Xenopus tropicalis: one gene and its partner. The protein of the gene in region 2 interacts with the protein of the main gene of each other region in a biochemical or structural test. Links are inferred from orthologs where the notes say so. Each region holds a gene or a part of one and is shown on either strand. Other genes may lie near its edges.

What was found.
Region 1: the proteins of irf1 (region 2) and spi1 form a complex in vitro, tested with the Homo sapiens proteins (2 studies listed by BioGRID). The link is inferred for Xenopus tropicalis from reciprocal best matches to the Homo sapiens genes IRF1 and SPI1.

What each region holds. Positions count from the first base shown.
Region 1 is NC_030680.2:15,892,416-15,896,949, reverse strand, and holds the start of spi1 (transcription factor PU.1), read left to right. Parts: upstream 1-1,642; 5' UTR 1,643-1,785; coding exon 1,786-1,818; intron 1,819-4,534. UniProt on the Homo sapiens protein: Pioneer transcription factor, which controls hematopoietic cell fate by decompacting stem cell heterochromatin and allowing other transcription factors to enter otherwise inaccessible genomic sites.
Region 2 is NC_030679.2:36,223,103-36,226,013, reverse strand, and holds part of irf1 (interferon regulatory factor 1), read right to left. Parts: intron 2,792-2,911; coding exon 2,615-2,791; intron 2,409-2,614; coding exon 2,362-2,408; intron 2,248-2,361; coding exon 2,133-2,247; intron 1,585-2,132; coding exon 1,465-1,584; intron 242-1,464; coding exon 201-241; intron 88-200; coding exon 1-87. UniProt on the Homo sapiens protein: Transcriptional regulator which displays a remarkable functional diversity in the regulation of cellular responses.

The DNA of each region.
Region 1 (4,534 bases), on a different chromosome or scaffold from region 2:
CCCTGCATGTCTCTGGAAAACTCACCCCAGTCATGGGAAATTTTAGTGACTCCCCTAGAACATGGGCTATTGTCACCCCGAGTGCCGACTGCGGGATGTGTCACATTCTTGCTGGAAGTGGCAGTTTTCTGCCCCAAAACTATGGCCATATAAACATTTATAGGAAGAGGAAAGTAAAGGGGAAATGATTACTAAGAATGATGCCTGCTTCTATCTGGTGGCAATAGCCAACCAGGGGCAGGTGCAGTTGAATCCTTATGGGCCGGTATGAAGCCAGTATGGTGTAGGGACAGGTCCAGTCCCACTGTGCTTGTTATCATTAGGTATGTGGGGGCGGTATTTGGGTGTGTGGGTGGCACATCTCAGGAGAGGGGTAGGGCGACTCCTGCATGGGACCAAAGTAGTGTTAAATTGCATTTGATCAAGTTTTTAAGTTTTTCACCTATGTTATAGAATGGCCTATTCTTAGCAACTTTCCAGTTGGTCTTTATTTTTTGTATTATTTGAATTATTTGCCTTCATTTTCTGCCTCCTTTCAGCTTTCAAAAGGGGGTCACTGACCCCAGAATGCTCTGCAAGGCTACAAGGGGAGATTTGTGATATAGAAGGGGTGGGGTGATGATGAAAGAGGGGGAACTATCTCTCAAACAGGATCAGGGAAAGAGAAAGGGTAAGTTTTAGGTGGATTCTGGGTGGTTTGGGGCTTTAGGGGAGGGGCCAGAGGCTGAACTGTATGAATTGGAAAGCAGGGCTGTTGATTTCTATAACATGGTGTATGCTGTTTGGCCAGGGTCAGACTAGGCACTTGCAGCGGCCCCCCTTCCCGACCACTCCTGCCCTGACGCATTAATTTTATACGCTCAGGGGAGGACGTCGGGTGGGCCCTTCACCCCCCAGTCCGACCCTGTGTTTGTCTGATTGAAAATGTAACCCCCCCAAATATTAAAGGGGATATCAACTCTCAATGAATGTGTTGCCTAGTTAAAAAAAGTATGACTTTCTATAGTGATAATATTTACAAATAACTCTTAATCCATTGAACATTAGTAACGTGGATTGGAGAGTTGCTTAGAATTAGCATTTTCTTTCATTCGTCAAAATATTATTTTTGGGTTTGTGACCCCTTTATGGTATATAGTCTGAGGGTATGTAACCCCCAGTATAATAAAGGGGATATAAACCCACAATGGATGTTTTGCCTAATCAAAGTATGACTTTCTATAGCAACGACATTTACAAATAACTTTAAATCCATTGAACATTGGTAACATGTATATTGGAAAGTGGCTTAGAATTAGCATTTTCTTTCATTAGTCAAAACGTTATTTATTTGGGTTTGTATATTTGGGTTTGTATCCCCTTTAATGTATATAGTCTGCTTGTATATATAAAAGAGGGTCAGGTTGCTGCCCCAGATCTCTATTATGAACATAGGCAGTGTATCCATGACTATCACTTAGTAATTAGACTGTAAGCTCCCCTGCACGAATCCCTTCCTGACACACAGGGATGCATATATTGCTGTACAGGGGCCAGTTAGGAGAAGTAATGGCACAGAGAAGTTACTACTTTCCGTAGCAATATAAGGGAAGTCAACTCACTTCCCCCTTTAAATTTAAAAGCAGCCTTTTCTTTGTGTCCCCAGTATGTAGCTGGGGAGCGGGTCTGGGTCCTAGGGTTCTTCTTCAGCTCTCGGGGGGCTTCTCATACAACAGGACCCAGGACTGGAAGTGCCTTCTACAGAGAGCGGCTAATGGCTGTGATTTGATTGGTGGAGAGAACAGAATGAACTGCAAATGGAGCACGGTGCCCTTTAAGGTAGGCTGAGCTTATTGGTGTTTGAAAATCTTCAACAGTATCTCTATCACAGGGGCAGCAGCGAGGGTGCAAGGGAAAGTGAATGTAGCCAACTGGAGGGCTAGGCCACGAAATTGGTTCATCTGTATTTCTTGTATTGTTTATAGGGTTTAATAAAATTAAGTTAAAGATCAATACAGCTGTTATATGTGGTGGCCCCTTAGGGCCATGCAGGGTTCTGCACCAATCTCAGTGTTATATAATTCTATTATACCAACATTGTGCCAAACCAGAGCGCCAGGTTGTACATTGATCCATTCCATTGACCCTGGCAACCGAAAAAAAACCTGACCATTACTGTTGTACTTATTTGTTGGGTTCATCTTTCTAATTAGGACCCCCCCCCCCGTTCAAATTCCATCCTGATTTCCAAAATGATACTGGGTTGCTAGGGTAATTAAAAAATTAAGACTGATTGTAGATTGTTTTCAAATACTACTGTCTATGCCAGGGGTCCCCAACCATTTTTACCTGTGAGCCATAGTTAAATATAAAAAAGTTAGAAACACAAACGTGATCCTAGCGGGTGCCCAATAAGGGCTGTGATTGGTTATCGGTAGACCCTTGTGGATTTCAGGAGGCTCTGTTTGCAGTACACATGGTCTTTATGCTTCCAAAACTTGCCTCCAAGCCAGAAATTCAAAAATGGGCACCAACTTTGAGGCCACTGAGAGCAACTTCAAAGGGGGTGAAGAAACAACATGTTGCTTACGAACCACTGGTTGGGGACCACTGGTATACAACATACTAAGAGTTTATTTCAAGGTGAGCTACTCCATTACAGAGATTCACCATACGTCTTAATGTGCTCCTACTTGAGCTTTATGAATAAGGTGCAATTAATGGTAACATACTAAGTACAAGTTGTGTGAATGTGCCAGTCAGCTACAACTTTGTGCGATCCATAATGAAGAGCTAAGATGCTGTGCAAGCCAGAGCTAGGTGCTACAAAGGGAGTCATATATAGTCTGTCAAATGCCCAGTGTGCTAGAACAGGGATCCCCAAACTTTTTTACCCATGGGCCACATTCAAAGGTAAAAAGAGTTGGGGAGCAATGCAAGCATAAATAAGTTCATGGAGGTGCCAAACAAGGGTTATTGGGTATTTGATAGACCCTCTATGGACTGGCAGGCTAAAGGAGGTTGTGTTTGTCAGTTTTTATGCAACCGAAGTGTGCCTCCAAGCAAGGAAATCAAAAATAAGGACCTGATTTGAGGCCACTGGGAGCAACATTCAAGGGGTTGGTGAGCAACATGTGAGCTACTGGTTGGGGATCACTGTGCTAGAATGTATGGTGATTTGGACTTTGCACCAGGCACCCCTCTCATGGTCAGATTGGCCTACACGAGTACTTGGTGGTCTCGAACCAAGGTCAAGCCAATTCCCATCAGCCCTTTCCTTTTTCCACCATAGGTCTATATGACTTCTTTTTCATTAGGCACTGTCTACACCTAATTGTTGTGAGCCCTCAATGTCAGGTACTTTGTTGGGCCCAGTCCAACACTGTCCTCCTTAAATGAGCCTTTAAGTCCTGGTGCCGTGCGTGATGGCTGGCTAATTTCTACATTCAGATGATTTCAAAATGTGGTCAATTGTGTGGAAGGGCCACTGAGGCTTTCTCAATTCCTCATAGAGAGGTTTTTCCTAATTTACTCAATAATCCGCAAAGCCGCTACTCATAACATTTTACATTGTTTTATTACCCACATGAAGCTTGAAACTTTGTGTGGTTCCAGTTCAGCTACGTTCAGTGCTGGTATCTTTTCATGCTGCCCATTTTTTGCCACACCTGCTGGAGTGCTGCCCCATGCATGTTTCTCTATATGCCTTATGGTAGAAACTATACTTGTCAGACATAGATCTTGTATTTTTAGTCCATTTGAAAAGATCCTGCCTCTTGACCATGTGAGAAGAACTGACCATCTGTTGGGTTCACATTCAAAGTGAGGTTGATTTCATAACAGTTGCAAAACATGAAACATTCTTGGAAAATAAACTAGCACAGCACCTTTGGTAGGCATCTGGGATACCAGTTGGTCATGGACTTTGACTAAATTGGCAGCCTATAGACCTATATCCTTATATTTCCTCTTAGAAATAGGGCAGGGGTGGCACCATTTAACATTTTACGGATAACCAATTCAGTCCCTGGGCTTCTATATCTAACGCAAGTTCCATCATCCATGTTATTTTATGGTCTGTACTTGTGGCAATGAGCCTTTAGTTCCAGTTGGTTGGAAGCTTCTAAGTCTTGTGATCCCCCTTTTCCTCTCAGGGACAACCAAGAGGATATTGTCGATCACAAGAACCCATGTGGCATAAAGCCTATAGGCAGGTGTTTATGGGAGTACAAATTGTACTGGGCAGAGTTATGAAGCCAAATGCTTATTAGAGTAATATTAAACTGGAAAATTTAGGTCAGAGGAGGGGGCAATGCTTCTTTGTGGACCAACATTCATTTAGGATCTACTTAACCTATAAAAAAGTAAAGAAATATGTGTTCACACCATATATTATCTTAATAGTGCTTCTAGGAGAGGCAGTAAACATTAGTCCTGAATGGCACTCCAATTAGCCCTCAGAATGGCAATTTCAGATTGGGAAGGGCATTTAGTCAAGCGCAGGCCATAAACCTAAAAACGGAAGGGCAGCCAGTGAAATGTTCATAGAAACTGG
Region 2 (2,911 bases):
GCAGGAGGTCTGCAGGCCAGATTCATTGGTGAAAAACCCTTTGCCATCAATGCTTGTCTGCTGCCATTCTGTGCTTGGCTCTAACAACTGGAATAGAGGATGGAATATGGATGATAAACATTATGTCTTAGCATACTGTAGAATCATTACAGTTATCTATATAGCATTAGCCAAGCAAAAAATGTAAGAAAGCTACTTACTTTTAGAAAGTCCTCTGTAAGGGTCATACATTCATCTTCCTCTGCAAGTAAATAAAAAAAATGAAATAAATAACTTGTAGCATTAGTGGTATTTAGAGGATATTTGTATTCTAATAATGTAGGTTCAGCAAAACATATGAGCATAGCTTGTTCTGCAAAGTGAGCCTTTGTGCTTTCGCATAAACACTTGGAATTTAATGGAAAACTATACCCCCACAATGAATACGTAACCAACAGATAGTTTATATCATATTTAGTGGCCTATTAAAGAATCTTACCAAACTGCAATATATATCAGTAAATATTGCTCTTTTGCATGTTTTCCCTTAAGCCACCATTTTGTGCTGGAAATAATGCAAATAATGCAACTCTGTCACTGTTTTATGCAATATATTTTTATAGAGACCTCCAGTGTTTGGGGCTGTAGTTTTCCTTTTTCCATGTTGGTTAGTCATATCCCATATCTTCTTGAAAGAGAACTAAAGCTTAGAAGCAAGCTAGAAATGTTGTACAATATGTTTTGGGGATTTGTACCAGCCCAAGGCCCCCACAACCCTTTAGCAGGGAAGATCTGTGCTTCCAAAGATGCCCCAACTAGCTCCCCATCTTATTTTCTGCTGATTCACTGCATATGCTCTGTGCTGTTGTTAGTTACTAAGCTTAGGGGCAACTCACAATATTTTGTATATTTTGTATATATACAATATAAGGGTCAAAATATAAGGCTTATTAGCAAATAAAAAAATTATTACTGCATGGCAGCTCTGAAACCAGTGCAGCCCAGTTGCTTAGAGCACACTGAGCATGTGAGCAGATGCTTCTAACAGAATCCAGTATGGTGACCCTCTGTGACAACTTTAAAGCACTGGGTCATTACTTCTATAGAGATGCTGAACCTTTAGGCTGGTCCAATAAGTTGAGTACATAAAATATGGCGTTTCTGGCCACATTTATTCTTAGGGTTTAGTTCTCCTTTAATGTGTTTATACTCTAAACATTTAATTCAGCTTCAGACCATTTCCATCTAATATCTATAATAGCCTTAGATGCATTATCAGCCTTGGGGGTTAGGTTTTTATGGCACAATCACATTAAAATGAAATAGTAATGGAGGTTCACTGGATCTGCTATATTTTCAGTGTAATAAAACTGGTCCTGTTTCTGCTTCTGCCCTCAATTCCTAGGCCTAGTGGCAAGGGCATTAATTCCTATGACATTCATAAAAATTGTATATTGTATATGACATAGCAGGCACACAAATTACCTTCTGAAGATGAATTTAAGGGTGACACCTGGAAAGGGTAGAGGTCATTTGTGCTGTCAGGCAATGGCATTTGAAGTTGACTGTCCCAATCTAAGTTGCCAGAGACACTTTCATTGATACCTGTGGAGAACATTTACATTAGCACTTCTGCATGTGAGCACAAAATATTTTACACACACATATTATATATATATTACTTATTTTTTTATGGTAGAGTAGCTGAATATATATTGCACTAGGTTCACTGTTTAGAAGCCTTTAGAAGCCAGGCAATGAAATATGAGCCAGATACAAATCTGTAAGTGCCAAAGGGGAAGAGTTCCTAAAAACCTGGGGCCCAAGGGTAAAATACTAGATGCCATAGCTACTTGGTAGCTGGTTTAAGTCTATGATTTAGAACCGCAAGGGTCTGATTTACAAACATAGGGGCTAATTTGTACAAATTGAGTTGGCCATAGCAAACAATCAACAGGTATTTATCAACAGGCTGCTACAAATAAGAAAAGGAAAGCAAAGACTTGTGCTTGTACATGAGCCCTAAATAGAAGTATATACTTATTCTGACATGCTGAAAGTGAGGTAAGCTGGCTCCAGCGAAATCCACCCATATTCGCTTCATATATGACCTAATAATTGTACTTATTTTATGCAATAAAGTATAAACGTACTCATTACAGCCGCATCCACAGAATCCATGTCTTCTTGGTCTGTATACACATTAGAGGTGTAGCTGTGGTCTGCAGGCAAAGGGCTAGTTTTCACAGATTCCTCATCTTCCTCAGTCTGCAACAACATAAGAAACAGACACACGTAAGCCACAAGTAGCTGCTATATATATATATGCCTATAGCCATTTCTGACAAAGCATTGGTTTGCTATTTCCAGAAATAACTGTACCTTTTTCTTGGCTTTGCTTTTGGAGTCTTTTGCCTTGGATCTGCGTTCTGTGAATGAAATAAAATATCCAGGGTCATTCCAGCACTGAACTACAATTTTCAGCAAACCCAAAAGCAAAAAGAGGTAGGACATTACTTTTATACATCTTATTAAAAATATTAATTTTCAGGCTCTGTAATGTAAGATATGTGTGCACCTGAAATCATAATGGCTTCTGATGCATGGTGACATATGGCTCATAATAAGCATTTACCTTTCTTCTCGGCCTTTATTTGAGGCGGGAGCATTTTATACACTCGGACTGCACTGGAACCTTTGTATATGCTTTTGTCTTTTACTTCTTTTATATCTGGCAGGGAGTTCATTGCACAGCGGAAATTGGCCTTCCAAGTCTTAGGGTCTGTCTCCTTCTCACCAGACTTAATACGTCCTGCAGATTTGAGAAAGAAAATATTTTCAGAGAATAAACCAAGACCAAAACAAACTTTTGTGTTGCTAACGCAACTTTTTGGCATAATGTAGGATATTGGGGATAGAAGCAAATGAGAGA